Linked DNA regions of Danio rerio. The protein of the gene in region 5 interacts with the protein of the main gene of each other region in a pairwise test. Links are inferred from orthologs where the notes say so. Each region holds a gene or a part of one and is shown on either strand. Other genes may lie near its edges. The genes, in order: aida, agtrap, eif4h, rad54b, lnx1, trim54 and ca8.

Region 1 (4,221 bases), about 30 Mb from region 5:
ATGATTTCGGCTGGCAGAGTATGCCGTTATTTCACTGACACATGTCGCAAGCGCAGTTTTATAAGTCGGGAGCGTTGTAATGCGAAAGAGCGAAATTTAAATAACTTTATTTTACCCCTAATTTTGTGCTTTTACATTTTCTCTCGCGTGTTTTTAATATTGCGATATAGGTCTTAAATTTAACACTTAATGGTCTTAAAAAGGTCTTAAAAGGTCTTAAATTTGACATTATGATATCTGCAGAGACCCTGTCCATGATAGACGCGGTGGAGAAAACTCTGCAGACATCCGCTCATGTCTCTATCCAGAAGAATCGCTGTAACAGCCGAGAGGAGAGGAAACGTCACACCAGCAGGTCAAATGGGTCACAGTTACTTTCATTCTCTCAAACGCAGTGAAATGGGGGCTTCTGCTGTTAGTGGAAGACTTTCCAGCAAACACACACGCAGTGAAATTGTGCAGAGTTTCTGCGTTTTTAGGTAGTTGGAGCGTTGTAAATACTCGCACTCGCCTCCCTCACCATTGTAAGCTACGGCGACATAGTGCATACGAGATAAATGACGTCAGTACATAATAATCGGTTATGATTATTACTGAACCGATACCGAATTGTCCGCGTCTGCATCGCAGTGCGACGAAGAAACACCCCTACTATGCGGCCGTGGTGATTATAGCGGTTAAGAATTACAGCAATTTTACTCTCTTAATTACAAACATGCTGTTTTAAAGATGTTTAAACTAATAAAAATCACAGAGAGTTGAATCAAATATTTTAATCCCAGTTTATTTGCAAAAAATGTTCTGTGGGCGTGTGTAAACATGTTATTAAAGAAAAATGGCTCTTGTCAATCAATTTGGTAGGCGAGGAAACCACACTCCGACGTCACATTGTGATGGGCCACTGATTATAGCTCACTGGTAGCTCACTTGTTGGGTTTCTATAAGGTTTGGGCGATGTCGACCAATTAGGCCAATTATTGTACGATGTCTAATGTGAAACATCGCAATGGACGATGACATGGTCATCATGTGAAAATGACATTTTCACATGATGAGGGGTTGATAGAATGCATGCGACGTACGTATCTTAAGAGCGAGAAGGGATCTGGGGGTGAGATGGGTGCGCGACTTATTTGAGGACCGGGAGGGAGATGCACGATTTCTGGGAGATTACCACTCGTTTGCTGCATTATGAGTCCCGCAAATGCATAGAGACTCCCGGAACTTCCGGGAAACTTGGGATGTCTGAATATTAGGTTTAACAGCTATAGTGAGACGCAAGCTGTACAATCTTGATAAACTGTCCGACGTGCACTGCTCTCTGCCTGGAGCTCAGAGGAGTGCATGACAGAGTGTGTGCGTGTCTGTGGCTATGTGTGTGTGTGTGTGGTCACGTGATGTGCGTTTTTAGCGGACGTCAAACACGTTGTGGATGTGTATCATTCTCGTTCTAAAATGCCATTTTAACACTAAGACATATTAGTGTAAACGGGGCCTGAGTGTGTATTTTTTGCGAGCGGGTTTGCGAAGGGGGCGGGGCAGAGGACCGGCTCAGCAACGTATTGTCTATTGGCCATCGGCGATGGACGATGTCATGGTCTATCGGCCCAACCCTATTTTCTATCACTCCAATGTGACTTTATCACTATACCTACAGTTCTGTCCAAACAGCTATGAAAAGTTGATTTTCGTCATAGGTGCCCTTCAATCTAAAAAACCTGTCACCATTCACTTCCATTATATGAATCGACAAAAGCCACAGATTCAGCTCAAAATCTGCTTTAATGCTCTACCGAAGAAACCGAAATTCTCCTACATCTTGGATGAGCGGTGGGTGAGTAAATTAACCCTCTAATTTGTGTTCAGAAGATGCACAGATCTCAGGGGATTGAAATGACATGAAGGCGAGTAATTAAAAGCTGAATTTTAATCATGAGGGTGAACTATTCCTTTAATGCCAGTTCAATGTAGAGCAAACAACTGGTCTGATACTCACAGCTCAATAACAATGGGACCTGGCTTGATTTCATCCATTTCCATGAAAGCGAAACACTTAGTGCTGGTGAATCTTTTCTTGGGTTTGTAGTGCTTGAATTCAAAGAAAATAGCTGCGCCTGCAGAGAAAACAAAGCACAAAAATATGTCATTAATAATTAAAAACCATTTAGTGGAGTGATATAGAGCTGTAACACTATCAAAAACTTGCCGGAACTACTTTAGCTGTGGTTTTATATGAAAATAACAACACACCTTAGAATGCTCATTAGCCAATCAGAATCAAGCATGGTAACAAACTGTAATACAGTTGAAATCAGAATTATTAGCCCCTTAATTTCTGTTTAAATTAAAGATTTTAATATAGTTATAGAATAGTTTTAATAACTCATTACTAATTACTGATTTCTTTTATCTTTGCCATAATTTTCCAGCCTCCACTGCTGAGACTGCAGCTCTGCACAAGACTTTTGTCCAGCAGAGAAATTAAAATGGTCGTGCCCAACTCAGTCTTTTTTTTTCTTTCAAGGTTTTTTTTCTTCATTCGCCTCGGTGAAGTTTTTTTTCCCTCTCCGCTGTCCCCACTAGCTTGCATGGTTTGGGATTGGTAGAGCTACGCATCGATGAATTTGCTCTTCAGTGTTTGGACTCTCAGTAATGATGTAAACCAGGGGTTCTCAACTGGCTATGCTAACCACATTTTTACATGGTCATCAAGCCGCGACCCAAGTTTTTAGGAACTATAATACAATTTTAGGAATTATAATTAATTTATATTTATTTGTTAACATACACGAGTAGTGAGATGAATTATAATAAAATCAGCAAGACTTACAAATAAACTATACAGTATTTCATTGCTGTCATTTAACAAAATGTATCAAATTACAGAGTAAAAGTGACAAATACTGTAAACTGTGGTTAGGGTATGGAAAGGTTCAGTTTCCATGAACTAAACTGTTAATAAAACATGTTGTCTGGTTTCTAAATGTCGTTTTAATTTAGAAGGTTTCGTGCTCTCTTGTGAGAGCACCTCGCTACTTATGACACACTGAGGCTTGAAGTCGTTTTTGCTGTCAATAAATGTAAATCCATACTTCACATATTCGGAGTCGTACCTGTGTTTTGACTTATTTTTGACTTCTTATTTTATTTTTTTTAATTTTTAATTTCACATGTCAAACAGTACGGTTGTCGTGCACGCATTTTAAAATAAAAGTCAAAATAAGTTAAAAATTTAACTTTTGTTATTTTTTTTTTTTTTTATCAAACACTCCGCGACCCACTGAAAATGTTCCCACGACCCACTTTTGGGTCGTGACCCACCAGTTGAGAAACACTGATTTAAACCACACTGAACTGAGCTAAACTGAACTGAACTTCAACACTAAAAACTGAACTACTCTGTTCCAGTTACTATGACCATTTATGTGAAGCTGCTTTGACACAATCTACATTGTAAAAGCGCTACACAAATAAAGCTGAATTGAATTGAAATGAATAATGACAGCTCAAAATATTTGACTAGATATTCATCAAGACACTAGTATTCAGCTTAAAGTGACATTTAAAAGATTAAATAGGTTAATTAGGTTAACGTTAGGGTAATTAGGCAAGTCACAGTATAACAGTGGTTTGTTCTGTAGACAATCCAAAACAACTATTGCTTCAGGGGGCTAATATTGACCTTAAAATGGCTTTAAAAAAATTAAAAACTGCTTTTATTGTAGCCGAAATAAAACAAATAAGACTTTCTCCAGAAGAAAAAATATAGGAAATACTGTGAAAAATTCCTGAATCTGTTCAACATCATTTGAAAAATATTTGAAAATGGATAAATATAGCACTGGGGGGTGAATAATTTTGCTAGTGTTGTCTTGAATGCGACATCAAAAGCACACTACTAGCAGTGCATAATGACTTTTCAGCCACTTCAGTGATGCTCAAATGCAAAGTTAGACCTTTGGGTAGTTTTTCCAGATGTCTCTGGATTTCCACATCCACACTAAAATGAATATATGTGTCCTCCTTCCGCGTGGCCACTGGTGTGTCCTGGACTGGGTTCAAGTCTATGCCATTCAGATCTGAGAGAAAGAAGTGAAAACGAGGAAACGTCAGACAGTAGCTATGTTTCCATCCACCTATTTTTTTTTATCAATATATTTGTATTATTAAAATATGAAGCGACCCCCCCCCTACCAAGCTCGCTGAGGCCCCCTTGTGGGC
Region 2 (3,462 bases), on a different chromosome or scaffold from region 5:
AGAAAAACCAATGCAATCTCACAGTAATTCATAACTATTTGTTTTAGTGGCTAATTCATATGAATTCGTACAATCTAATTCGTACAATTTAGTACGATTTGCTCATCACCCAATGACGGTTGGGGTTAGGGGTGGGGTTAGGTGCCATGCCTACTTTTTAAAATCATTCATTTTTGTATGACTGAACTTGTACAAATTTGTACGAATTAGCCACTAAACTGACAAAACGTAAAATACTTGCGTTTTCTTGTGAGATCAGGTTGGAAAAAAAAGTTTAAACCTTTCACAAAATGGACCAATTTTATGCTACAAAATAGTAAATGAAGAAAAGTAAAAGTAAAAAATAATAATAATGTTGTGCACACCAAAATTATAGCATCAAGGAACCTTACTGTGAAGCAGCAAATTTTGAGCTTCACAAATAACACCTTTAAAAAATCAAACAGCTTGCACTTGTACAAAGCAGTCCTAAGGTTAAAAAAAAGGTGTTGAAGGTGGGTTTTCATTTATCTCTGAGTTTTCTTCAGTAACGAGGCATCTCCAAATGTAAAGTTGTTTTCCTTCATGCTTCAACATTATATTTAATACTATTATTTATAATAATAATGATAATAATAATAAATAGGCATACAAATTAAACAAAAACATACACAAATCATGAACCAAGCAAAAATTCACATTTAGCCTGGGTTGCAAAACATTTTGCTATATATATTTTTTAATAAATGTTTAGTAGGAACGAGTGCCAGATTTGCCATCTTCCGCTTGGCCAAAGGGGTTGGCAGAGCTTCCAGATTGATCGTTGTGGTCAATAGACTGGTAGGCATCTCTGTTTCGAGATATTGATGGGAAACCTGAAATTTAAAAAAATAAGAAAAATAAATCCAGAATTAATGAATGGAAAGTCCAACTCAATCTCATGTACAATTCTTTAATGATTAGGTTTACTGGGGGGGACTTCCATGCTTACTGTTTTCAAGAAACACACACTTAAAAAAAATAAAAATACATATTGACATTGTTAACTCACCATATGATTTCTTGATATCAGCAAGAGCAATATTCAGAACCTAGCCTAATCTTTTCTCATTCATCCAGAATGATCATGATCCATTAACTGAAGAAACTTCATTAGTAAATGAGTAAACGGACACTTTTTACTGCACATTTATAGTCTAATGTTCTAAATGACATTTTAGACCTTATTTCTTTAACATGCAAAACTACTTTGTAAAAAAAAAAACTAGTAATACAAAAGGAAAGAAAAAAGAAATCAAGCCAAGTAAAACGGATCAATTTGATTTTGCTTCTATTTATTTAAGCACAACCTGAGAAGTCCAGTCTAAATAAAAAATTATTACACGATTCCCTTATAATGTGCAATAAAAACACAGGCAAATATTGACAACTAATTTAAATGCAATAAATCAGCACTTCTGTGCCCATTCAGTCAGACGTTATACAGCTAGAAAATGAACTGTTGTGTTACAGTGTGGATATTTTCGAGATAATCATGAGGGGGGACCTTCGAGACCTTCATAAAACAGTTATTATTATTATAGCAATACAAAAGTTATTATTATAAATTCCTTTTTAACATAATATTATAGCTAATTTAACTGCTGTAAAACATGTTAAATAACAGTTTCCGTATTTCGTGATTCACAAGCATTTATCCATTTATTTACGAGTAGGAATTGCATTATGGGATCTTGATCTTTGCTCTGTCGACTTTTGATGTTGAAAATTTATTCACACTTTAGTAGTTTGAAATAATATAATGTATAAGAAATTATATGTAAAGAGTAAAGAAAAAAGTCACAGAAAATGTACCATAATGCATTTCAAAAACATAAATAAACAGAAAATAAAATAAAATACACAAAATATGGAAAACTGCTAATTTAAAGGGCACCTAAACATCGTTTTTAAGCAGTTTGAACATAACTGAGTTTAGGTATAATTTGTCCACAGTCATATTGAAGTGATAAAAATACACTAAGTCTCTTTTTTTTAATTTCCTGACAGTAAAATAGGATCCAAATTTTCCCCATTTTGCGGCCCACCACAACGTGACGTAGGAGTGTGGTTCCCGTACCCACCAAAATGATTGACGTCGCGTATTAACATGTCTCTGTAGTAACGCCTATAATCATATCAACAAGACAGGACATACACAAAGAAACTGGTATCGCTGTGAACATCAATCATCATCAAATATGATCAAGAATGAGTTTTACAAATTTAAAACCTTTTTAAAACTTTATTACAGAGATTTTACCGTCTTTACTTTATCACCACAGCCACATATCAGTACAATTATAAAAGAAGAATCCCGGTTATGGACATTAAATCAAGTTTAATATGTACATTAACATAACAGATATCCACACAGCAGAGGATATTAACGTGTATCCTGTCACAACTGCGTGTGTGTGTGTGTTTGTGTGCGTGAACTAGAGGTCTGCATTCAACCCGACCAGATTTCTGCGGTGCGGTAATACATTTCCGAATAAAGCGCGGGAGCGGTCGGTAACTGGTTTAATTTTGGACGGGAGTAACTGTCCAACAATATCGCTCCCGACTTCCGAGCGAGCGAGCACGCGTATGTATGTGTGTGAATGAGACAGCAGCAAACAAGCTAAACACAGCATCACTCTGTGTGTGTGTCTGTGCGTGTGTGCGTGTACGAATGAGAGAGAAAGCTTTGTGCTGTCTGTGTGTGTGAGTGAGAGAGAGAGAAAGAGTGTGATGCCTATGTGTGTGTGTGTCACTTGCTTGGTGCTTATGTGTGTGTGTGTGTGTGTGTGTGTGTGTGTGTGTGTGTGTGTGTGTGTGTTTATACAGACAGTTTGTTATAGGCTGTCTGGACTCTGTATAGCTGGGTGGTTTTCGGTTTTGTTCTCCCCCCACTCGTTAGTGGAAACGGGCGCGGCGGGTAGAAAACGGGGCGGGTTCTCTAGCGTAAACTTTATGCAATGATGAGTCTCACACAATGACGTTCCATAGGCTTGAATTAACTCCACAACAAATACATCAAATAATATTTGGGAAAGTTGTTATTGTAGTATTTCTCACAAACGTTTAAGAGATCTGCTTCCTTCGTGTCTGTCACTGTGCTGTTTATCTGATGCAGCTGGAGCCTGAGGCACACTGACAGCCACGTGGGAACAGTGGGCAGGGAGAACTAGCATTAAAGGCACAGGCAACAAAAACAGCTACATTAGCTATGTTTCCAGCCAAAAATGTGAATTAACTTCATGCACAAAACTGAAATATCACACAAAAGACGTGTGAATAAAGAAGTGTTTCCATCCAATGAGTCAAAGAGAGCAATATCATCACATCACAAGTGACTTGCACCGCAGAAGACAAATGCTGACATGCAATGAACTTGTGGTGGCATTTATAGGCCTGAGACGCGGAGCACAGACTCTCTTGACAGTCCTGGAGGTAATTAAT
Region 3 (4,987 bases), on a different chromosome or scaffold from region 5:
CTGGAAACAGCTAACAGATGATGGGTACACGGTGGTCATAAAGGGATAGACATGGTCAACAACACTCAGGTGGGCTGTGGGATTGACACGATGCTCAATTGATACTAATGAGCCCAAAGTGTGCCAAGAAAATATCCCCCACACCATTACACCACCACCACCACCATTAGTCTGAACTGTAAATAAAAGGCAGGATGGATAAATGCTTTCAGGTTGTTGACACCAAATTCTGACCCGACCATCTGAATGTCGAGAAATCGAGATTCATCAGACCAGGCAACCTTTTTCCAATCTTCTTATGTCCATTTTTGGTGAGCCTGTGAGAATTGTAACCTCAATTTCCTGTTCTTGGGGTGTACTTACACTATGTACAGTTTCCTTGGACCGGGCCGAAGCATGCTTGTCCACCCTCCCATCCCCCCCGATGGCCCGCACTCGCATGCATTCGTGCCCGAGTTTGCTTCCGTCATCGATGATGCGCTGTTCAGTAAGAAGTGCTCTCGCTCAGCACAGTGGAGATTTCTTCAGTTATATTGTTTTAGTCATTTGATAGTGACGCAGTCAAATATTTCGCCGAACAGATCCGCCACTTTTGTCACTCATAAACAATCATAAAGTCCTCGTGCTGCAAGAATTAGGAGGTTTGCTAAAGGTGTAGCTGTCATGCAGTGAGGAGTTTGTGTCTTTAATAATCTACGATAGTTTGTGTTCCTTGAACTGTATGAATAATTAATAAATCCAAATGAAACAGTCCCTTAAAAGTCTTGTCTCGCCTTCAGTTTTGGGCTCAGGTGCGCTTTGCACTCATACTTAACTCACTCACACTTCTTAAACGATCCGGGAAACGGGCTTGGGCACGGTTCGGTTAGCACGGTTGAGAACGCCTTTTGCTGACAGGAGTGGCACCTGCTGTGGTCTTCTGCTGCTGTAGCCCATCCGCCTCAAGGTTGGACGTGTTGTGAATTCAGAGATGCTCTTCTGCAGACCTCGGTTGTAACAAGTGGTTATTTGAGTTACTGTTGCCTTTCTATCAGCTCCAACCAGTCTGGCCATTCTCCTCAGACCTCTGGAATCAACAAGGTAATTGCGCCCACAGAATTTTCTCATTTACGGACCATTTCCTGTAAACCCTAGAAATGATTGTGCATGAAAATCCCAGTAGATCAGCAGTTTCTGAAATACTCAGAGCAGCCCGTCTTGCACTAACAACCATGCCATGTTCAAAGTCACTTAAATCACCATTCTCCCCCATTTTGATGCTCAGATCAAACTGCAGCAGATCGTCTTGACCATGTCTACATGCCTAAATGCACTGAGTTGCTGCCATGTGATTGGCTAATTAGAAATTTGTATTAACAAGCAGACGGACAGGTGTACTTAATAAAGTGGCCAGTGAGAACAGCTCAGTAAAAATAACTGCATTCAAGTATGCATATTATACTACTAATGTGGTTCAGCGGTGACTTATTTGTAGTTTGATTCATATTACCAATGGAGACTACTACTGCATTTACACTGCTGTCCTTTTATTACACAGATCTAATGCAAAGCGACCTGATACAGCCCAGATGTTTATTTTCACAGACATACACACTGGGTTTATGTGGCGATCGGTGTGTGTTTGTTTATTATAACCTTGAGTGTATTTGAGCCTTTAGGTTTGCGAAAAGGGGGTTAGTTTGCATTTGAAAACAAAACATTGTGTTATTTCTTCAATTTTGTTTTTAAGATTCTTTAAATTTCTTCTTTTCATTGAACACATGTTTTCAGCTTTCTTTAAGGAGCAAATGAAGGGAGGGTTTTGGGTGAACGATCCCTTTTTTAAGAACTTTAAAAACAAGGAAATACCATGGTATACTGAAACATTTAACTAATAACTGATTAAATAAGGTGTTTGGCCATTTTAGCTTGAAGAGATCAGACAGAGGTGTAAAAGTGGCTAAGTCGTCGTCAACCTCAACTTTCAAGACTCTGTACACACAAAGGTTCCTCAGTAATAATGCAGCACAATAAACGAAGCCCAAATTGAACACAAAACCCACAGGTTTACATACATCAAGTGGACTTACTTTCTGTTTCAATACTCAAGAAGCGATTAATGCCACACATACCTGAGAAACGGTATGGACGTAAAACCATAGCCACAAATGTGTTAAACACTATGTCAAATTGGCTTTATATTTGCAAATTCGTTCAGTGACTACTTATTATAATATCCTTATATTGTTTATCATGTTAAGTTACTTTGAATATTCGGTCTGAAAGCACAAGTACGACTACAAAACAACATTAGCACGATTTAACTGACTGAACATTGGTGTGCTTTGATAGTCATTGTCAGCTAATAATGATTTCGCGGTATTTAGAATCTTCCAATAACACTTTTCTGAAATCATATTATTAAAGAGAAAGTCCAAATGTGTGGATATAAAACCAACTTTACCTCAATAACAAACACAAGATCCCTCGTTTGTTAAAAGTGGACTCTAACCGCGCGAGCAGAATACAGATGCACATGTTCATCTACATGACACTCACACCAGAGACTTCCACTGTGCATGTACAAAACTGTGAAGGCGCCATTATCTCAAGCTACCATCATTTTGCTCATAAACTAACATTTTGGAGTGTTTAAAAACTGCGGAGAAGCATAAATGGGAGTCAAACCGCAATTTAAGGCCCAATGTAACTTAACGTTAGACCGTGCTAAACACGCCAGCATGCTGTCGCCCAAATAAAGCAACAATCATGACATCATAACCTGATTTAAGAGGCATAGTCGAAAAGGAATGTTTAAAAAAAACACACTAGGCCTCTGAAATAATCAGTCAGCCGCGAGACATGCAGCCCATGTGGGCTGAGTTTCTAGCCCGGCCTTCATTCATCATAGCGGGGAGCGCGCCGCCGCTGCGTGGCCTACAGCCGCTGGGTGTCCTGCAAACCGGCGGCCACACGCACAGCCCTGCTGACTCCCACCTAAAACGCACGCCTCTCCGCTCCTCGCACGCGAGGTTTCTTACCCTCTTCCACCGCCAAAGCTCCCGTACGCCCGATCCCGGTCATCGTAGTTATCGTAATCCGCCATTGCCGAAGATGCTGTTCAGAGAAAGCAGCAGTCTGACGCTGAAGGACCCCAAAATATACGGCTGCGAGATTTAGCTGACCTCCGCGTGCCTGACAAATCATCCTTTGAATTTTATACAATACATCTAAACGCGGACGGCTTTTATATTGTGTAAATGCTTAAATGTAACGCGCGCGTTTAATTGTTAGGGGGTGTGTTGAAAGTCACATTTTGAATGCGAATATTGAAGGAGTTTTGAATTAGGCAACGGCGGGTCGACTCGACTCCGGTTAAATGTAGTATCAGCTACTTCTTTTGGAGGGACGCACTGGTGGGGTTTTGATTCAGTGTTCGGATCTTTTAAATCAGTTCACCAAATAGATTCATTTAACGTTAGTGATTTGTTTATTTTTTGCCAGTAGGGAGCGACAAAGAAGGCAAGTTGTTGAATTGTTCACCCGAATGCTTATTTAAAGCGACCCAAACTTCTGTCATTTGTTTACTCATCCTACACTTGCTCCAAACATGTATGAGTTTCTTTCGTCTGGTATCCCTCTATGGCAGGGCTGCCCAAACATTTTCGTATGAAGGGCCAAAAACTAAATATCATTGAGAGCCGTGGGCCGAAGGTAAATATACCAAACTACAGTAAGCCTATATTACATTAACGTTGCCATGGATGATCTCCTAATTTATTTAATCATATTTATGTAATAGAAAACCTCACTTTAAATGGTATTAAGTAATACCGTATAACTTTTTAAGTGAAAACATATTGCAATAAAACATAAACAATCACATTTATAACACTAGACAACGCAGTGGCGCAGTAGGTAGTGCTGTCTCCTCACAACAAGAAGGTTGCTAGTTCGAGCCTCGGCTGGGTCAGTTTCTGTGTGGAGTTTGCATGTTCTCCCTGCGTTTGTGCGAGTTTCCTCCGGGTGCTCCGGTTTCCCCCATAGTCCAAAGACATGAGGTACAGGTGAATTGGGTAAGCTAAATTGACCATAGAGTATGTGTGTGAATGAGTGTGTATGGGTTTCCCAGTGATGGGTTGCAGCTGGAAGGGCATCCGCTGCGTACAACGGCGGTTCATTCCTCTGTGGCGACCTCAGATTAATAAAGGAACTAAGCCGAAAAGAAAATGAATGAATGAATGATTTTATAACACTGTGGAATTCAACGCTGAATACCCTAGTCAAGCAGAATCTGCCTTTGGCTTGATTTGCTCACCAAAGTCTCTGAATTGTCGGGTGACAGTCTATAGATTTAAATCAAATCTGAATAATTTACACCATTTCATTGAAACATTTCATTTTAGTCAGCGTTTAACAATAAAACAAACAAACAAAAAAGGTTACATTAAATCTAAATTGAAAATCTCGAAACCACCCCCATCGTTCCCCCTCTCTTAGATGGGATGGTGGGCCAAATTAAAAAGTAACATAGGCCAACTTTGACCTCCGGGACCTAGTTTGGGCATCTCTGCTCAATGACATGAATTTATGTTTTAGAAGGAAAAAAAATAATCACCCTAACAGTACTTTGTTTGTGCATGTTTTATTTTCTCTCTCTCTCTCTCTCTCTCTCTCTCTTATATGAGGTTCAAAAATTGTTTCCTGTACAGGGCTCAACAATAAGGACAGCCCGGTGGCCCTGGGTTAGCGTGAGAGACACTTGGGACAGTAGACCGGATCATTACTGGCCTGATTGGGACAGTGCCGCCTTGCTAACATTTAATTTGTCTTTGACTATTTGTCAATTGTGTTCATTTTAAGTTTGTGCTTTTAAGTCCTTAAACACTACCCTTTCTGTGATGTTGTAAACACCATATTGATTTCCAGTTCCTCTTATCTGATTGAGCATGCTATTTTTTTCTGTAACCTGGTAACAACCGGTACAGCGAAGAAACGGCAACATGGC
Region 4 (4,831 bases), on a different chromosome or scaffold from region 5:
GGAGCACTCTCTGTGTGTGTGTGTGTGTGTGTGTGTGTGTGTGTGTGTGTGTGTGTGTGAAACCATATCACAAACATACATTAGTATCATTTCATGTTCTTGAGTATAAATTTCACATGCAACTTATAAAAATTTAAATATACCATCACTAGACATTTTTGCAATTTATTAACTGATTTTTCCTTATTCATTCATTAACTATGCATATTAATTATTTAGTCTTTCGATCAACTTTTATATGTAGTGTTTCATATTTGTATTATTTCACTTGCTTGCAGGGCTTTCCATTGTTGTTTACCATTATGTTTGTGGGGTTACATTATATATTTCACTAATTTGTAGAAGGGTTTTTATATTTCAGATTTACAAGATGTTGTTGTGAAGCAGATCTGCATACATTGCATTAGATTTATTTTTTTGACATTGCTTTTGCAGTATTGAGCAATATGATCGATCAAATATTTATTTTGAGTTTATAAATGTACTAATTAATCAGAGGCATGTACTAGATTAGTTAATTAGTTGTTGAATGTAAACAGAGCGATGCAGTGGTGCAGTAGGTAATGCTGTCGCCTCACAGCAGGAAGGTCGCTGGTTCAAGCCTCAAATGTGTCAGTTTACAATTCTGTGTGGAGTTTGCATGTTCTCCCCATGTTCGCGTGGGTTTCCACTAGGTGCTCTGGTTTCCCTCACAAGTCTAAAGACATTCGGTACAGGTGAATTGGGTAGGCTGAATTGTCCATGGTGTATGTGTGTGAGTGGTTGTTTCCCAGTCATGGGTTGCAGCTGGAAGGGCATCTGCTGCGTAAAGCATATGCTGGATAAGTTGGCGGTTCATTCCGCTGTGGCGACCCCAGAATAATAAAGGGACTAAGCTGAATAGAAAATAAATGAATGAATGTACACATGAAGTGTAAATCTGAATTATGTAAATAAATTGTCATAAAATTGCAGTCCTACACTGTAACGTGTTGTTTTTATATATATGAATTTAAATACCAATTTATTATTAATAGTTTATATTTATAGCATTCTGATTTACTAAAGTAATCCGAAAATTGCTATTACGGATACAAAAGATACCCCTGAAACTTAATTCAAACTGTGAAACAGAAATATAAACTTTATTTAATAGAAAATATAATTTCTGACCCTTTCATTAGCATCAAGTATAAAAGAACAAAAATAAAGAACAAAAATTTATTAAAACTACATTTAAGAAATAATTAGCACATTTCTTTTAAACTGGTAAAGTGGTTAAATGTTTTAAAAGGTTAACAGTTTACTCAAAACACACAATGATAAAACAGTAGTTTAAGAGAACAAAAACATTCAAACAAAAAATAAGAAAACAAAGAAAAAAATAAATGATATACAAATACACAAATTATCTCCTTTCTAATGACAAATCCAATTCAATACAAAATCATCTTTCCAGTGACAAATCCAAAACAATATTGCCTAAATTATTTATACACCATCAACAGTCAATGTGTACACCTTTTTGACTTTGTACTTGTCTGTGTCTACATGGGTGTAATGTGTTTTTTTTTCTTTACAAATTTGAGCAATTCCATGCAAATGTTTACCAAAATAGCAAAATACTTTCTAGGTTCTTTGTGTAGGCTCGTATTTCACAGAACTCTAGAAATACTCATAAATGTCTGAGTCAATGTTGTCAAACTAATATATTTGATTTACCAAAGTCACAAAAGTGGCATTTTTACATCTGTCACATGATTCATAACCAAGCTTTTTCCTCATAAATGTCAACTAAAATAAAATCAATGATTTTTGTTTTTATAGTAAGCCGACTCTTATCCTTTAGATTAGCATTGTTTCATTTGGGTTGTGCAGTTTAATTTACAGAATTTCTACAAAGTATGTTGTATACTGTAAACTCGCATACTTTTTTTGGTCACGTCCATAACGCATGTTTACTTTAAAATATAAATAATATTTACAGATTGGTATTTTTCTGATCCCATAACTCTGTGGTTAGTTGTTTTGGAAAATATAAACAGATGGTGCAATATAATGTTATCATAGATTTTCTCTGTGTATTTATGTTTGAATTTTTTACTCAAAATGTCAAACCCATAACGCTGGAATTGCTCATTAATTGTCAGCATTTTTAATAGTTTATTGTTTTATTTTTGAGTATTTTGTTGTATTATGCACTGTCTGTAGTCTGGAGCCAGCACCTAAGCTATTCAATTTAGGTAAAGCTGGTTAAATATCGGCACATTCGTACAGTGACAACTTGTGACATGCTGCCTACATTGTTTAACATGGTACTTTGAAAATTCAATCGAAAGTCACATGTAAGTATTACTTGAAAACAACATTAGCCCTATTTATTTGACTGTGAACAGTGTTGTACTTTGACAGTCGTTGACTGATAATAGGATTAGATTTCCATATTTAGCATTGGCAAAGAATACTTTCTTGGAATGACACTATTTTGGAGAAACTTTACCTTAATAGATTTTCATTCATCATAGAACACGTGCTGCTGCTGCTAATGTGACAGTTAAAGTGCTTTGATTTGAGGTATGTACACAGAAATTGAAAAAAAGAACTTTTGTTGACATTTTTATAATTACATTTTAGTATGACTTTTTAGGATTTTTTTCTTTATGAATGCAATATTTACTACCTAATCAATAATATTATACATGATGTTAAATATTATTATTAAAGTGTAATAAGCAGCCCTGATGAACTGCAAATTCTTTCGTATCAGAGGGTTTATGATTCACTAAAAAGATCCAGTTCATAAGAGTCATTTCATTTGTTCATGAATCGGACAACGCGGGGTAGCTCATCTATATATATCATTAAACTGAACCAGCTCATAAATAATGTTAAGAAGGTCATACTCATTAGAGATGACAAGAATGTGATAAACAAAGAAATAGTTTCCTTTTGGGCGAACCATCCCTTTGCGAACAGGACATTTTTAGCAAGCAGGCAAGCATCTGTTGCTGTCGTTAGCAAAACACGGGTAAACAATGTAAAGTTGAGCCGCGCTGACCGACTCCTTACACCTCTCAAAACATGTCAAATGCATTTGAATTTAATCTACTAATTGTACATAAGCAATACGTAAACCGCTTACCTTGTTATCGAGTTTCCTCTCGTATGTCAATCACTTTGCCTATTTACAAAAACTCCCTCAAAAACGAGTCTCCCGCGGACGTGACGTACCTTTGCTGTGATTGGACAAAACTCGACGTCACGTAAAGTAGGTGGAGTTGAGGAGCTTATGAAGAGCAAAAATCAACAGTACAGAGAGAGTACTGTTAAAGAAACCTGACAGGAAATGTAGCCTGCAAATAATATATATCTAATCCAGCAAAGGTAAATGAAGCAAAATAGAAGAGACGTCTGAAAAGTTTGATTTCTGTCAACCATCACTGATCAAACAGGCAAGTAGAAGCTACTACACATTATTAACTAGACTTGTTTGGTTATTTACATTATAACAAACAAGTTTTGTGCACAGTTATTAGCTTTGACATCAAATCAATTACTGGTTTGTGTGTGTTTTATTATATTCATCATTGCAGTCTTTCATTAATACATTGTTAGTATACTTTATATTCGAATTATTGCAAAAAATATTGCTTATTAACAAACATATTTTACTAGAAAGTAAACAAATGGTGAATTTTTGTACATATTACACAGTAAAGAAAAATCTGTATATGTAAAAAAGAGTACTGGAAAGGCACTGAATGAAATAAATTATGATCAATGTATCAATGTTTATTTTTGGTTGTAATTTAACTAATAAATATATATAATCATGAATTACTGGCACAGTACTGGAGAAATCTTGAATAACATTACCCTTTAATCTTTAGAAACGTTTAATAACACATACATGGTGCTTGAGTGTGATTTTATTGAATTCTTAAGTGTTTTACTCAGTAACTGTGTTTGGGATGCACACAGATGCATGTTTGCATGTGTTGTGTCAATATTTTATACAGTGCTGCATGTCTGAAAGTGAAGCTGTAATGTTGGCGTGTAGAAAATAATCCAATCAGAGTGTGGGAAAGCATAATCCTGTCTAATCCAACCGCAGCCATGAAGAACAGAGATCATTCAGGCAGTGAGAGTGACCAGACACTGACAAACATCCTCTCCTTCATAAAGATCCTGCTGTATATCCTCAAATGCGGATCTGTTAGCAGTGAGGGTTTAACCAGAGCAGCATATCATAGAAAAACAGAAGTGTTTAATGGTCAAGCCACAAACGGACACCTAAGATGATCAGTTGTTTTTCTGTCACGTGGCCAGGCAGGTGCAGGAACACTTGCGCAGATCACCTGTTACTGAGGGGTTATTATTAAGGACCGTCTGCTGGATGTCAGTGAGGGAGGGACCAACAGGCTCCTGATATATGGGTTTTACTGGTAAACACTCCATTTTCAACATTAAATGTGTTGTATATTTGTAATCATTGTTCATTTATAATTTACATTCTTTAATTACTTTTTAATGTAACAGAATTATTCATGTTAAATTGTAGTTGTCAAATGAGAAAACATTTGAATGTGTAACATAACAAGTAATCTTACAATTCTGTATGTTTAAGATACTTAACAAAATAAAATGTAAAATTTATATACAAACCTGTTTCTGTTTGCAGTTTTTTTTATCTATTCTTACATTATTTTAACTTTGTCAGTGTGAAAATAAAAAAACATTTGTTTTGATTGGATTTTTAAAAAATCATTTTTAATTTTATTTCCTAAATCATGTTTAGTGTAACAAATATTCTTGTCAAGTTGTAGTAGTTTAACACAATTATTAAAAAAAT
Region 5 (4,221 bases):
GTTATCGTCGTTTTTTTAAACCCAAACGCTTACCACCCTAATAAGTATTTTTAAAAACGATTTATTTGATAATGAAAACATTTGCTGCATTAATTCATATAAATGGTTTATGCAAAACCATCTTAAATATTATTAATAATTAAAATAATAGACCACCTCTGTAATGGTCTGTACCATTGTGAATGCATGTTTGCGGAAAAAAATATTAATTCAGCAATTTGAAATTGACAAATCTAGAGCACCAACAGAAAAAAGGCATTTGCACTGTAGATATCTGTAAAACTAGATGCATAGTTTGTATTTTATTATTCACTTACTTGCACATGGTAGTTACACAGTAAAATATAAATTACGTCCAGTTATTCATGGTCATCGATTAATAGGTTTATTTAATATCACGAAAGTCCATGAGAACCTCTCAATATTTCTCAAAACACTGAAAGCATAATAACAAGTTTGATGAATAAATTAGATGTATTTGAAATAAAATTTAGTTCACTGAAGCATTTTACCGAATAAAATCGGAAAACTTGACCCCCCAACCCCTGATTGTCGATGCATAATTCGTACCCTGCTTCAGGCCATACAAAATGTAGATTTTTTTTTCAGTGAAATAGTTTAGAATATTTAACAGTACATTTTATTTATATCTGACATTTAGTTTATACTGTAATTTTGCTTCATAAGTGTGTATTGTCACCAGCCTCAGCTAACAATTTAGTTTCAGCACTGTGTATTTTTTTGAATCTCAAAGTGCCAGTATAGCATTTGTATTACATTTTATGAAATGCCAAGGCTTTACAGTTTCAGAAAAAAAAAAAAAAAAAAAAAAAAACACCTTCTCACCTACATTTTGGCCTGAGGGTAAATCACCAGTACATTTTTATTTTTGAATAAAATATCTCCTTAAAACAACTACAGAAACAAGAACAAAACTATCATTATCAGTGTTCTATTTCCCCTGCTTACAGACACTTTATATCCTTTCAGTAACTCCTATTATTTCTCTTTTACACACTTGGAAAGGTGGAAACATTCTGGCAACATACTGTCAGAGGCTTTTCACTCCTCTGAATTAGACACAGCCTAACACACACGCACACACACACACACACACACACAGTCCAGCGATAAGCCTGACACACTAACTCCACATCTGATTTGATGTAGCCGGAGGCTCAGACTAAATATAAACAGCCCTTTTATTGAACTTTAATAACGCTTTTTATTAAGTTAGAACTGAGCGACTGTGTTTGTTGTTTTTGGAAGCTATCCAAGGTACAATTTGGCCGCGGTCAGCAATATCACAGCGTCCTGCAAGCTCACCATTTATTACAAACACAAGCTTTGGGCAGTCATGTGTTCAGATGCTATTCTAATTCGCCAGCGAGAATCCAAACAGCAGACAGCCAAACGTCATAAACTTTCTCAAAACTTGAACCAATTACAAGGCTAGCCCACTCTAAAATGCCAATTCTGTACTCACATTTACACAAAAGATATGAAAAATGTTGAAAACCGCTACCTCAGGACTTCCACTGTCATTTTCTCCCTACTATAGTAAATGAATATTAACTTTAAACATTTTTCAAAATATCTTTTGTATTCAACAATAAAATAAACTTATTAATACATAGGTCTCAAACTTGATTCCTGGAGGGCCGTGGCTCTGCACAGTTTCGCTCCAACTCTAATCAAACACAGCTGATCCAATTAAACAAGGTGTTCAAGTTTAAACCGTGCAGAGCTACGGCCCTCAGCAATTGAGTTTGAGACTATTGTTAAAAAGGTTCAGAAGCACTTGAAGGTGAGTGAATTGAATTTTTTTGAGTGAACCATTAACTTTAAAATCTATCATTTCCCTTAATTCTAGGATTCGTGCCAAAAGCCAGCGTGTTACGAGAAGACGGTGACTCTGTTAAAGGAGCCGCATGATTCACTCGGTATGACGGTTGCCGGTGGGATGAGCAGCAGAGGTTGGGATTTACCCGTCTATGTCACGAATGTCGACCCCAATGGAGTGGTGGGACAGGAGGGTTCCATCCGCAAAGGTACGGCCTCATAAACCTATTCAGACACATCCGACAAAGCCATACACACCTGTTTCCAAGGTGCCCCTCTGATCTTTCTTGCTTTTGAATCCACGAGCACAGATAAACAAAGACACACCTGCTCCTGCATATGTATGACTCTCATCGCTTTTGCAAATTTATGCATATAAAACTAGAAAGTGACACACTCCTACTCGTACACCTGCCATACTGCTATATTTGCTATATTGTACTCACAGTTTTGAGCTGGTTTAGCGGATGGAAGTTATTTCAGGTTTATTTTTGTCTTATGTGACATGTATAGTAGTGTGTGAAGGTGTGATCAGGCACAGGCTGGTGTATGTAGATAGATGTGTGACACCGTGAAGACATTTACAGTGGTATTTATTTAAAATAGAAAACATTCTATACATTAAAAAGTCAGAAAAAAAAATTAAACATTCGACTTATGACTAAAAACAAAAATCTACAAATATCTATAACATTACAGATAGATTAAGTTCCTTAAATATCAACTCTGGGACAAAAGTTTCCATTTTTAATGTAAAAGTTCATTTCTGACACGCACAGAAAACAGAAATAAAATATGAAACATCTTGTGTGTCTATGACAGTGTTTAGACTAAACTCCTGCTGTATTACCTCATTTAAATGGTGGTCTGGTGGTGAAACAGTGCCTCTTCAGTCTGATTTTAAAGAGATAACTAGCAGGAGTGACAAAACTAGCATATCTTGACCTCCTCTAGACCTTCCATAAATTCTATCATCGGGTGAGCTCTAGTGTTTTGATGAAATGAGATACTGTAGAGTGTGTGTCTGTGTGTGTCCTGTTTTCACTGTATTTCAGTATGAGCCTCTGTCTCTCATTTCTCAGTCCCTGTCACAAATCTCTCATGTCCTTCTACTTCCATTTCCATCTTTTGTCCAAACTATATTTGTCATCCTCGATCTATATTAGCAGTTTAAATAAATATATAATACAATGGTCACATGCAGTACATAATCAGTGACCTTCACATTTACATTAAGGACTGAATCCACAAACTTATTTTTTATGTTGTGTATGAAATGACTCCAGAAATTGTGACAACTTGTACTTTAGTAACCATATTGCTTTAACATATATTTAACACAATATTTTTGATTAACTTTACTGAAATCAAAGACACAACAGCATTTTGAACTAACAGCAGTCAACAGTGTTGTATTTTGTCCATGCTTTTTTATGCATTTCACAGAGCATGCTTTTCAAATATTGCCATGTCTAATTATTATAAGCATATCTGGGCATGGCTCATAAAGTCATATGGAGTTGATGAAGGAGGCAGCTAAATAGAAGATTTAATTTGTTGTGTTTTAAAAATCAGATTTATTCCACCAAGTACTGGTTTCTTAACCTTATGTTAAAATATTGTGTTGTCTAAAAAAAGGCTTTAAACCTGTCAGAAAACATGCCAATTTGCTATTTTAAAAGGAGGGAAATCTAAATGATATTTTAGTTTTACATTTGGAAGAAATTTCATTAGTAGATTTACAGAATTAAAAAAAGTCTGATTTTACTCAAACAATTGATAAACTGAGAATCTTACTGTGGTCTTTGAACTATTTTCATTCATTCTTTCATTTTCTTTTCGCCAACTTATCCACCATATTTTTTATGCAGCGGATGCCCTTTCAGCTACAACCCATCACTGGGAAATGAACTATTTTCTTCTATAGCTATATAAATAGTAAACATTTAAAGTGGATCAAGACGTTTGACAGAAATAGGTGTTAAAATGGTTTCAGGACAACTTTGATAAAGAGTTTTGATCAAATGTTGACTGCTGTATTTATAGAAAATATAATAATTGAATGTTAGCATTTATGTCAGAACACACTTTATTAACCTATTACAAAAATATGGAATAAAAGTAGAAATAGTATTGGAAGACTATACATACTTTTGACAAAATAGAAAACAGATAAGTGACATTTAGAAATGTTATCAATTTTTTTAGAAAGCACTGAAAAGGAGCACTGCTAGGATAAGTTCCAGTTGATCTGATGCACCACATGTGGTTTACAGAATAGAAAGGTGAAATAAAAGAATAGAGAGTGTAAAAACAGAATACACTAGAATTATTAGGTGTTTGGGGGGGGGGGGTCTTCAGCTGTTTCGTGAAAATTAC
Region 6 (5,021 bases), about 17 Mb from region 5:
CTAAAATATTATTTTAATAATTATATCTGTTTTTCATGCACCGAAATACATTGCCTATATCCACTGAGAAATTAATAAAATATTCATTTCAATCTCATTCATACATTTCAGTTTGATTTGCTCATCCACCAATGAGGGGTAGGGACAGGAGTGGAGTTTGAAGGCACATCTCCTTTAAAAAAAAAAAAAAATCTACATTTACATATCAGTGAATGAGTATGAATAGTTACTTTTCTGACAATATACATAGTTATGTTTACTCGTGATATCGGGCTGAATATTTGAGGAGGATTTACTGAAAATGTCTGTGTGAAATGTGCTAATGATTAAGAGTCTAAACATATAGAGGCAAACTAATTTACATGACTCCTGATAATACCAAGGTCTTATGAATATTTTTACCTTTAATCCACATCTGTAAATGGCCTACAGCGTATTTACAACAGTCTGGAGTATATATAATGATGAATTGTCTAGGACTGCTTTTAATTAACATGTTTTCAATAATCTGTTTTGATCTTTTACTGTTGTTCCCTTTAATAAATGAGGTTTGTAGGCAAAGCACTTTAAAAAAGTAACTTTTAAAGGAGCTTTGTAAATTAAATGTGTTATTATTATTGTATTATTCATTAATTTTCCTTCAGCTGAGTTCCTTATTTATCCGGGGTAACCACAACAGAATGAACCGCCAACTATTCTAGCATATGTTTTACGCTGTGAATGCACTTCCAGCCAGAATCAATCTATTTGCCCAAAAAAATGTGTAATGTTCCCATCAGATATCTTTTATAACTGTTAAAAGTATAATTAGAAGCACTCAGTCATGTTGAAGTCTGACCTAATGGCACTCACTTCGCAGAGAGAGAAGAAACAACACTAATAATGACTGCTAAAGGATGAACTTGTCTTGATGATGAGATGAATAAACTAATGCCAAAAGGAGCAAAGTAAAAGAGATTGGCACAAAAAAGAAAGCCTAAATGGATCATTAATCTCTGTATGACAGATGCTATGGTACTTTGAGTTCTGGTTTCATATTAGGCCTCAGCTAAGGGAATACTGTACAACATCATTAACAATATAACTTAAAACATTTTAATATCTGATCAATTAGTTAAGGGATGGACAAACTCGATCTTGGAGGGCTGGTGTCCCTGCAGAGTTTTGCTCCAACACTAACTGAACACACTTGAACATGCCAAAGTGTAAAAAAAAATGCTAGGTTTCACACAATTCGGTACCGTATAGAGCACCAACCCAGACAACATATCACTTTAAAGTATAAAAAAGGTTCATAAACGGCACATTTTTAAACTTTTCAAGGTTATATGTTATTGGAAGAAAGATCAAGGTCCGATAATGTAATTCAAAAGCATAAATAAACTTTTGTAATTAATTTTGTCAGGAATACAACACATCTCTTCACTGATTTATATGATTTTTTTTTTCAAGAAAGATCTCTGCCCTTTTTATTAATGTTTGTGTGTGTTATTTATATTTTATGTATATTTATTTAGTTGCAATTCTTGTAGGTGCTTATGTTGTTGTGTGCGTTTTTTAATCTCCTCCTTTGGGGTGGGATGGGGGACTGAGGGCTTTTGAATGTTCTTGTTTACCCTGAGCTATTGTTTAAAAAAAAAATTGTAACATTGATATTGAGGTTTTTTTTTTTTTTTTTTGAAAACTCCACAAAAACAAACAACAAAATTAAACGAACAAATAAATAAAAGCATCAATAAACAACGTGAATCACAAAAACTGCTAGTTTACAAAATAATTTTACAGTGTATAATAATGTTATTACATTTTAAAAATACATTTAAAATATAATAATTACCATGATTTTTAAAATAAATCAAATGTATTTTAATCATTTGGGTATGTTATCACAAAATGTTGAAATTGCGTTCTTATTGTGTTCGGTGAAATAATTGTATTGTTTTTTGAAAGAAGATTATTCACTTACCAAGTCTGCATATATTTGATCTAAAATACAGCAAATACATTTGAAATTGAAAGTAACTTTTTTTTTTTAAATTCTGAAAATATATTAAAGTACTATTTTTCTGTTGGGGGAAGGGGTGAGGGGTTTAGGGGGTGAATCATACAAAAAACTGCTAATTTACGATTTTTTGGGGGGTGGGGGGCGTACATTGCAGCCGCTATATTAATAACAGGAACTAAGAAAAGAGATCATATCTTCCCTGTCCTTGCCTCATTGCACTGGCTACCTATAAAATACAGAGTTGATTTTAAAATTCTTCATTTCACTTATAAAGCAGTGCACTATTCTGCCCCGGTCTATGTCAGTGAACTTATTAGGCCTTATTCAGCTTGTAGACCGTTAAGATTCCATGACCAAATTTTTTTTTTTGTCCCTCGGTCTTGCTTCAAACCAAAAGGTGATCGAGCTTTCTGTGTCCCCAAGGCTCTGTAACAGTCCCCCCCTGAACATCAGGATTTCTCCTTCATTGGATGCTTTTAAATCTAACTTAAAGACTTATTTTTACTCTCTTGCCTTTGAGTGATGCATGCATGTTATTTATTATTATTATTATTTTTTTAACTTGTATTTTAGTATTACTTTTAAACATATACATTTCCTTGTATTTAATACCAGTTTTTTAGTTTTATTGTCTAGTTTATTTTATTGCAAAGCACTTTGGATCAAATACAGTTGCTTAAAATTGTGCTCTATAAATAAAGTTTGCCTTGCTTCATCTTGCCTTACATTAAAGAACAAAAAGTCTCTTTGCATCATTTGAACCAGTTTCAACTTATAAATCCAAACTCAGTATTTTAAAAACTCATTAGGCATTCTAAAGGGAAAATAGATGGCTTGAAAACACAGATCCTCTTCCAGCTTTTACAATTACAAAAAAGCTCTCAAAAGTTAAATGAGCATTCTAGATACTACAGTTCAAAACAGGCCGTACACTATATAATAACAGCAATAAAGCATTACCTGGAAAACATCATTGGCACACTTCCTGCAGAGATTGTGCTGGCAGGGTAAAATGACGACAGGCTTGCTGAATATCTCCAGACAGATGGGGCAAATCAGTTGCCTCTCCAAGTTCTCCATTGAGCTGGAATCTCCGATCGACGGTTTGAAGCCCAAAGTGAAGTTCATTTGGACACCAAATTCAGTCAATAGCTTAAGATCCTAAACTTCCTTTCCTTCTGTTATTCTCCAGCAGTGCCAGTCTTCATCCAGATGCCCAATCAATCGCCAACCGTAGAGTGGCAGAGGATATATTTGGGCTGTGTTTGTACTGGCTTGGGTTACTGTCCAAACTGCACACCCCCTTAATATCACTTTGAATACCCCAGTTAGCGCTGCATTGAGGGGTCCGGGGTAGAGAGAGAGCAAGAGAGAGGGGTGGGAGAACGGATTGCTCAGAGTTGTGTTATCTGTGGTAACTTGAGCAGAAAGTGGGCATGGCAGACCAAGCAGCTGGTGTGTGCGACTCAAAGGCTAGTGAGACAAGCAGGCCCATGAGCCCGAGCTGGCGCCGATGATATAACCCACCTAAAACAAAGCCTAAGTGCTCTGAACACATAGATTATGTGGATATACAGTGGGGGAAATAAGTAACACGTCAACATTTTTCTCAGAAAACATATTTCTAAAGGTGCTGTTGACTTGGCAGCTTAAAGACGCCTCTCATTTGGAGAATGAAGTCATATGCATTGCTCAGGTGTGACTTTTTTCACTGGCTTCAACAGTGTAAAAGTCTTGATGGCTCTCAGGTCTCGTCTATCAAATCTGATCATTATTTCATATTCTATATTGGATTCAAATCAGGTGATTGGCTGGGCCATTCTACAGCTTGATTTCCTATCTCTGAAAGCATTTGAGAGTTTCCTTGACTGTGTTTTAGATCATTGTCTTGCTGAAATGTCCACTGTGGTTTTATTTTCATCATCCTGATAATGTAGATGTTGGACTGAAGCAGCTAATATTCATTTACAATGATGAAGGGCAGAGTGTTGCTGAAGAACTACTAAGAGATTTCAGCTGCTGTCTGGGCTTTCACTGTCTTTCTACACCTCTCTTTCTTCATGTGTTTAATACTTTTTCCTGTCTCATTTCATTTTATTACACAACACTTAATTTGTAAACTAATTTAGTTGGTTTTCTTTTTATATATGCATTTCATGTTATGTGTTTTATAAATGGTGACATGTTCAATACTTATTCCCCCCACTGTACCTGCAAATCCAGTGTTTACAAATATAGTATATAAACTGTTAAAATGCTGGGTTCCACACAATTCCCTCAAGTTGTCTCAACACAAATAATTTATGTTAACTTAATTGTTTTAATATTATTTTTTTGTTCAATTCACTTAAGTTAACTTAGTTTTTCCAATATTAAGTGTGCCCTAAAAAACCCTTAAGAATTGTGTTGTTTCAGCTTATTTTAAGAGAGTAGTTTAAGCAGCAAAAGACATTTTTTGAAGTGTAGTAATACATTGAATGCTATGCAATGCATTAATATCAGTGTAGTTTAGATTATATTGGAATTTTATTAAGTTTAATTAGTCACATGTAAAAGAGGTTAAGCAACAAAGCAAAATGAAGGTTTAGTAAGACTTTTGTTTAAGTATTTATTTACTACTGGATTATTACCTGCCTGTTATTAAGATATTGGCTGTTTAATAATACTTATTCTACACGCACTATCCTATTCAACACATAAACCCAACTACTACCTCACAAACTGTTAATAAGCAGCTTATTAGTAGTCTAACAAGCTAAAAGTTTTAGTTAATGGTTTATGAATAGCATGAATTATACCTTAAAATAAAGTGACTGAAGCGTTGTAATGTAATGTTGAAAAAAAAAACTATGATTTAACTATTATAAAATGTCTTTCAGAGTGGCGGTAAATCTAAAAACAATAAAAATCTGAGGCATATTCAGAATAATAATTCGATTTCATATTAAAAGTCTTTATTTAAGGATCACATTGCAGCCCTGAAATACTTAATTATCATTTTAAATCTTTATGTGCT
Region 7 (4,221 bases), on a different chromosome or scaffold from region 5:
TGATAGCAATGAGGGTCTCTAATCAGACCTCATGTTTATATAGAGCAGGCTAAATTATAGGAGCACCAAAAATATTTTTTTTCCACTGTTGGCACTGACAAATCAATTGAGTGATTTTAACCGGCCATAAGTCTCACTCATTTGAAATTGATTTATTTAAGAAGATAATGCATTAATTAAAATATTAATAATAAATAAAGTTATACAGTGTTTCATGCACTATGTTCAGTATATTCATCCTTAACTGCAGACTCTAAGCTATATTGTCCAGTGTCATTTTAAAATAGCATGTATTACTTTGGGCGACGCAGTGGCGGAGTGGATAGCACGTTCGCCTCACAGAAAGAAGATCGCTGGTTGGTTGCTGGTTTGAGCCTCGGCTTAGTTGGCGTTTCTGTGTGGATTTTTTTTCTGTGTGGATACACTATGGACAATTTAGCCTACCCAATTCACCTGTACTGCATGTCTTTGGACTGTGGGGGAAACCGGAGCACCGGGAGGAAACCCACATGAACGCAGGGAGAACATGCAAACTCCACACAGAAACGCCAACTGAGCCGAGCCTCGAACCAGCGACCTTCCTACTGTGAGGCGACAGCACTACCTACTGTACCACTGCTTCGCCCATCAAGAAATTCTTTATGTTTTAATTTACAGTTGAAGTTAGAATTATTAGCCCCCTTCGAATGTTTTTCTTCTTTTTAAAATATTTTCCAAATGATGTTTAACAGAGCAAGGAAATAAAAATAAAAAAAGTCTAATTAGTTTTAATATGGTTAGAATAAAAGCAGTTTTTAATTTTTTAAACACCATTTTAGGGTACAAAATTATTAGCCCCTTTAAGCTTAATTTTTCCTCGATAATCTACAGAACAAACCATCGATATACAATAACTTGCCTAATTACCCTAACCTGCCTAGTTAACCTAATTAACCTAGTTAAGTCTTTAAATGTCACTTTAAGCTGTATAGAAGTGTCTTGAAAACTATCTAGTCAAATATTATTTACTGTCATCATGGCAAAAATAAAATTAATTAGTTATTAGAGCTGAGATATTAAATTATTATGTTTAGAAATGTGTTGGAAAAATCTGCTTTCCATTAAACAGAAATTAGGGAAAAAAATAAACAACCAGTCTAATAACTCAGGGGGGGCTAATAATTCTGACTTCAACTGTAAGTACTTAAATGTATATTATTTAAAGGTTCATGTAATGTATAATTTGCAACTGTGTATACATTTTCAATTAGTAAAAGTTAATAGGAGATGGATTGGTCTGAAAAATACACATCTCTGATATCAGCAAATCTATGACTATGTTTCATACTATTCATTGTAAATGACCTATTAGGCAGTGAGTAACTCTGTTCAGTTTATTATTTGCACTTTTTTGGTCAATTTTAGTGTGAGTGTTGAATTTGAACCCTAGGTGTGAGCTTTTCCAGAAACATGAGAAAACTAAATTTTTATATTTTTACTTTTCTCTCTCTATAATGCTATTATTATTACTCTGTTGTCTGTTATCATAACTACCTTTTTCCATAGTATGGTGTATTTGTTTTTAACGTGATAACATAGGCTGAGTCATTTCAGCATTCTGTACAAATTCAATCTGGGAAAACCATATCCATTAATCAAAGAAGGAAACTATTTATATAGAAAATGTTATTACAGTCATCGAACACAGGCAAGACCCTGACTAGCTTTCAAGTCTGACCTTTCCATAATATTCAGTATATGACTGGCCTTTACTTGAAAGTATTGTGCTCTGCCAGTCACTGAGATCAAAGATGCAGATAAATGCCATATATTGTTCTTTACCGTTACATTACTGTGGTAAACCCCATTCTGTGTAAGACACGTCAAAGTCGGGTTCTGATTTCCCCTTCTGTGTACTCGAAAGAACTAGTTAGATAGGACAATAGGACCATCATATATGCAGTGTGTATACCGACAGAGAGAGAGAGAGAGTGAGAGAGAATTTAGCAGAGTCATAGACTTTTGGTAATGTCAGAGACACGTATATTCAGATGAAACCATCTTCAATTAAGATTTACAAATAGAAAATGTAGACACATTTATTCATTCATTCATTTTCTTTTCAGCTTAGTCCCTTTATTAATCTGGGGTCACCACAGCGGAATGAACCGCCAACTTATCCAGCACATGTTTTACGCAGCGGATGCCCTTCCAGCTGCAATCCATCTCTGGAAAACATCCATACATCAAACTGGCAATTCTTTGCATGGAAGTTGGTTGCTATAACATGGAGACTAAAGACCATGGCGTCTAGCATCTGTTGCTAGAGCACCTTTAGAGGTCAGGAGTGAGGTTTACATGTATAGCACTTCTCTAGCTGGCCTCCGTTACACTTACCCCCTAAACCTCACTCCCATCCTATGCTATGTGTTACCCACCAGTCCTACAGCTTCCAACCCAGTCTGAGCTGAGATTGAACCAGCGATTCCTCGCATCGGAGTCAGTTGCTCTAACAAGGAGGCTAAAGACTATGACCTCTAGTGTCTATCACTAGGTTTACCTGCATAGCACCTCACTAAAAATGATGAGTCACTAACTTCATCTTTTTTTTCTTTATTAGATTCACTTTTACTGAATTGTATCTTAAATATTCAATACGGTGTAACATAGCAAAAATGAAGAAAAACAACTCTTTATAATGTACAAATATCATGAGCGTGACTTATCTTTACTGTTGGACACTTATATCTTCATATAGTGCTATTTGTTTTACATGAAATTAGCAATAATATTTTTCTCAGTAACATGATGAATTTGTTAGATTTGTTTTAATAAAAGGGGAGTCACACCAAAGGACAACAAAACATTTAACTTTTTAAACAATTTTATAATGGTTCCAAAAAGTTAAATATGTGAGAAATTCTGAGACAAACACTTAACATGTGCATGTCATGGGCTTCAAAGGAGGTCACATGATCTTAAATGAGGTCCTACAACTAAACAAACAATATTTTCAGTGGAATGCCAAAGATTTGGCTCAAAAATGTACAAATTTTCAAGTTTTCATGCAAGAAAATGATCGCAGTACTAATTACATTCATTTTTTTCAAGTGTGACAGTGAAAATGCAAAGTCAAGTCAACAACCCAATAATATTTGTATAGGCATCACCTGCATCTGAGAGATGGTCAAAGGGTAACGGTACAGAATCCAGGTGACGTTCTCACTACAGGGCGGGGTGGTTAAAGAGCCCTCATACACCCAGTAATCTCTTAATAGAGGATCTGAGTGTGTAAACATAGCAACAGAGGCAGTCAGATACAAACTGATAAACTTTAACTAGTCAGAAAACATCAAGAACAAAAACATGCAAAAAGATGCTAATACCACTATCATGGATTATTAATGAAGAAATCATTTACCAGGGAGTAATGTGTTGGGATTAAAACATGGAATTATTTTAGTCTTCCCCTGTACAAACAAAAGAAACATTTTAGGTCACAAGGGGATGTGTTGTGTTTACTAAAGCTGCTCTTCTGCTTGCCTTATACTGCAGGTCCTGCAGGACGTCTGTGATGGCCTTCAGACCAAGATGTTCCTTCCCAACCTGAAAAGGGTAAATTAGAGCAGCCGTGTCAGCTGAGCAGGACATATGGTCAGTTCAGTTTCTCCTAGAAACAGTATTTGTTTCCATAAATTCAAACATTAAACAGGATTTTTACTTCCCATCAACAGAATGATTCATAACAGTGTGCAAAGTGTGTTTTGTTAAGTTTTTGACTTTTCTAAAGCATAAAAATAATATGTTTGCAGATATTTGACAAACATGCTAAGTGAACGTTCTAGCTTATCTGAAAAACAATGCTAAAGTCAGAAATTCGGCTTTGAAAATGTGCATTTTGTGCCTGTCTTTGTTTGGAGCAATCACTCGCTTTTTTAAATGTCTAATATTCTTGTTTAATCCCGCCCCTTTCCGCAGTGCCGCACGTCAGAATATCGCATGCTCAAACTCTAATGTGACCGCAGCTTCACAGTACAGCACTGTGAAAAGGGGCAGGATTAGATGAGTAGACATTTAAAAAAAAAAAAAAGCTAGCGATTGGTCCATGTTTTAAATTCCTGTCCAGAGAGGTCATGTTTTGATCTTGGATTGGTCTCACCCAATCATGTGATGAGATTTCGCAGGTCCGAGTTCACCAAGCTTGAACTTTCAAATGCAGCGAACTGCGAAACTTGTCGCACA

Evidence for each region.
Region 1: the proteins of lnx1 (region 5) and aida interact in binary tests that used the Homo sapiens proteins (3 or more experiments, as listed by UniProt). The link is inferred for Danio rerio from reciprocal best matches to the Homo sapiens genes LNX1 and AIDA.
Region 2: the proteins of lnx1 (region 5) and agtrap interact in binary tests that used the Homo sapiens proteins (3 or more experiments, as listed by UniProt). The two-hybrid records come from large-scale screens. The link is inferred for Danio rerio from reciprocal best matches to the Homo sapiens genes LNX1 and AGTRAP.
Region 3: the proteins of lnx1 (region 5) and eif4h interact in binary tests that used the Homo sapiens proteins (3 or more experiments, as listed by UniProt). The two-hybrid records come from large-scale screens. The link is inferred for Danio rerio from reciprocal best matches to the Homo sapiens genes LNX1 and EIF4H.
Region 4: the proteins of lnx1 (region 5) and rad54b interact in binary tests that used the Homo sapiens proteins (3 or more experiments, as listed by UniProt). The two-hybrid records come from large-scale screens. The link is inferred for Danio rerio from reciprocal best matches to the Homo sapiens genes LNX1 and RAD54B.
Region 6: the proteins of lnx1 (region 5) and trim54 interact in binary tests that used the Homo sapiens proteins (3 or more experiments, as listed by UniProt). The link is inferred for Danio rerio from reciprocal best matches to the Homo sapiens genes LNX1 and TRIM54.
Region 7: the proteins of lnx1 (region 5) and ca8 interact in binary tests that used the Homo sapiens proteins (3 or more experiments, as listed by UniProt). The two-hybrid records come from large-scale screens. The link is inferred for Danio rerio from reciprocal best matches to the Homo sapiens genes LNX1 and CA8.

What each region holds. Positions count from the first base shown.
Region 1 is NC_133195.1:55,027,675-55,031,895, reverse strand, and holds part of aida (axin interactor, dorsalization-associated protein), read right to left. Parts: intron 4,080-4,221; coding exon 3,957-4,079; intron 2,115-3,956; coding exon 1,997-2,114; intron 1-1,996. UniProt on the Homo sapiens protein: Acts as a ventralizing factor during embryogenesis. Inhibits axin-mediated JNK activation by binding axin and disrupting axin homodimerization. This in turn antagonizes a Wnt/beta-catenin-independent dorsalization pathway activated by AXIN/JNK-signaling.
Region 2 is NC_133186.1:18,188,483-18,191,944, reverse strand, and holds the end of agtrap (type-1 angiotensin II receptor-associated protein), read right to left. Parts: intron 855-3,462; coding exon 730-854; 3' UTR 706-729; downstream 1-705. UniProt on the Homo sapiens protein: Appears to be a negative regulator of type-1 angiotensin II receptor-mediated signaling by regulating receptor internalization as well as mechanism of receptor desensitization such as phosphorylation.
Region 3 is NC_133190.1:4,811,329-4,816,315, forward strand, and holds the start of eif4h (eukaryotic translation initiation factor 4H), read right to left. Parts: upstream 3,158-4,987; 5' UTR 3,086-3,157; coding exon 3,021-3,085; intron 1-3,020. UniProt on the Homo sapiens protein: Stimulates the RNA helicase activity of EIF4A in the translation initiation complex. Binds weakly mRNA.
Region 4 is NC_133191.1:29,853,500-29,858,330, reverse strand, and holds the start of rad54b (DNA repair and recombination protein RAD54B), read right to left. Parts: upstream 3,194-4,831; 5' UTR 3,122-3,193; intron 1-3,121. UniProt on the Homo sapiens protein: Involved in DNA repair and mitotic recombination. May play an active role in recombination processes in concert with other members of the RAD52 epistasis group.
Region 5 is NC_133195.1:25,282,213-25,286,433, forward strand, and holds part of lnx1 (E3 ubiquitin-protein ligase LNX), read left to right. Parts: intron 1-1,873; coding exon 1,874-2,051; intron 2,052-4,221.
Region 6 is NC_133195.1:42,035,744-42,040,764, forward strand, and holds the start of trim54 (tripartite motif-containing protein 54), read right to left. Parts: upstream 3,246-5,021; 5' UTR 3,134-3,245; coding exon 2,966-3,133; intron 1-2,965. UniProt on the Homo sapiens protein: May bind and stabilize microtubules during myotubes formation.
Region 7 is NC_133177.1:25,094,191-25,098,411, reverse strand, and holds part of ca8 (carbonic anhydrase-related protein), read right to left. Parts: intron 3,586-4,221; coding exon 3,523-3,585; intron 3,450-3,522; coding exon 3,401-3,449; intron 3,263-3,400; coding exon 3,150-3,262; intron 1-3,149. UniProt on the Homo sapiens protein: Does not have a carbonic anhydrase catalytic activity.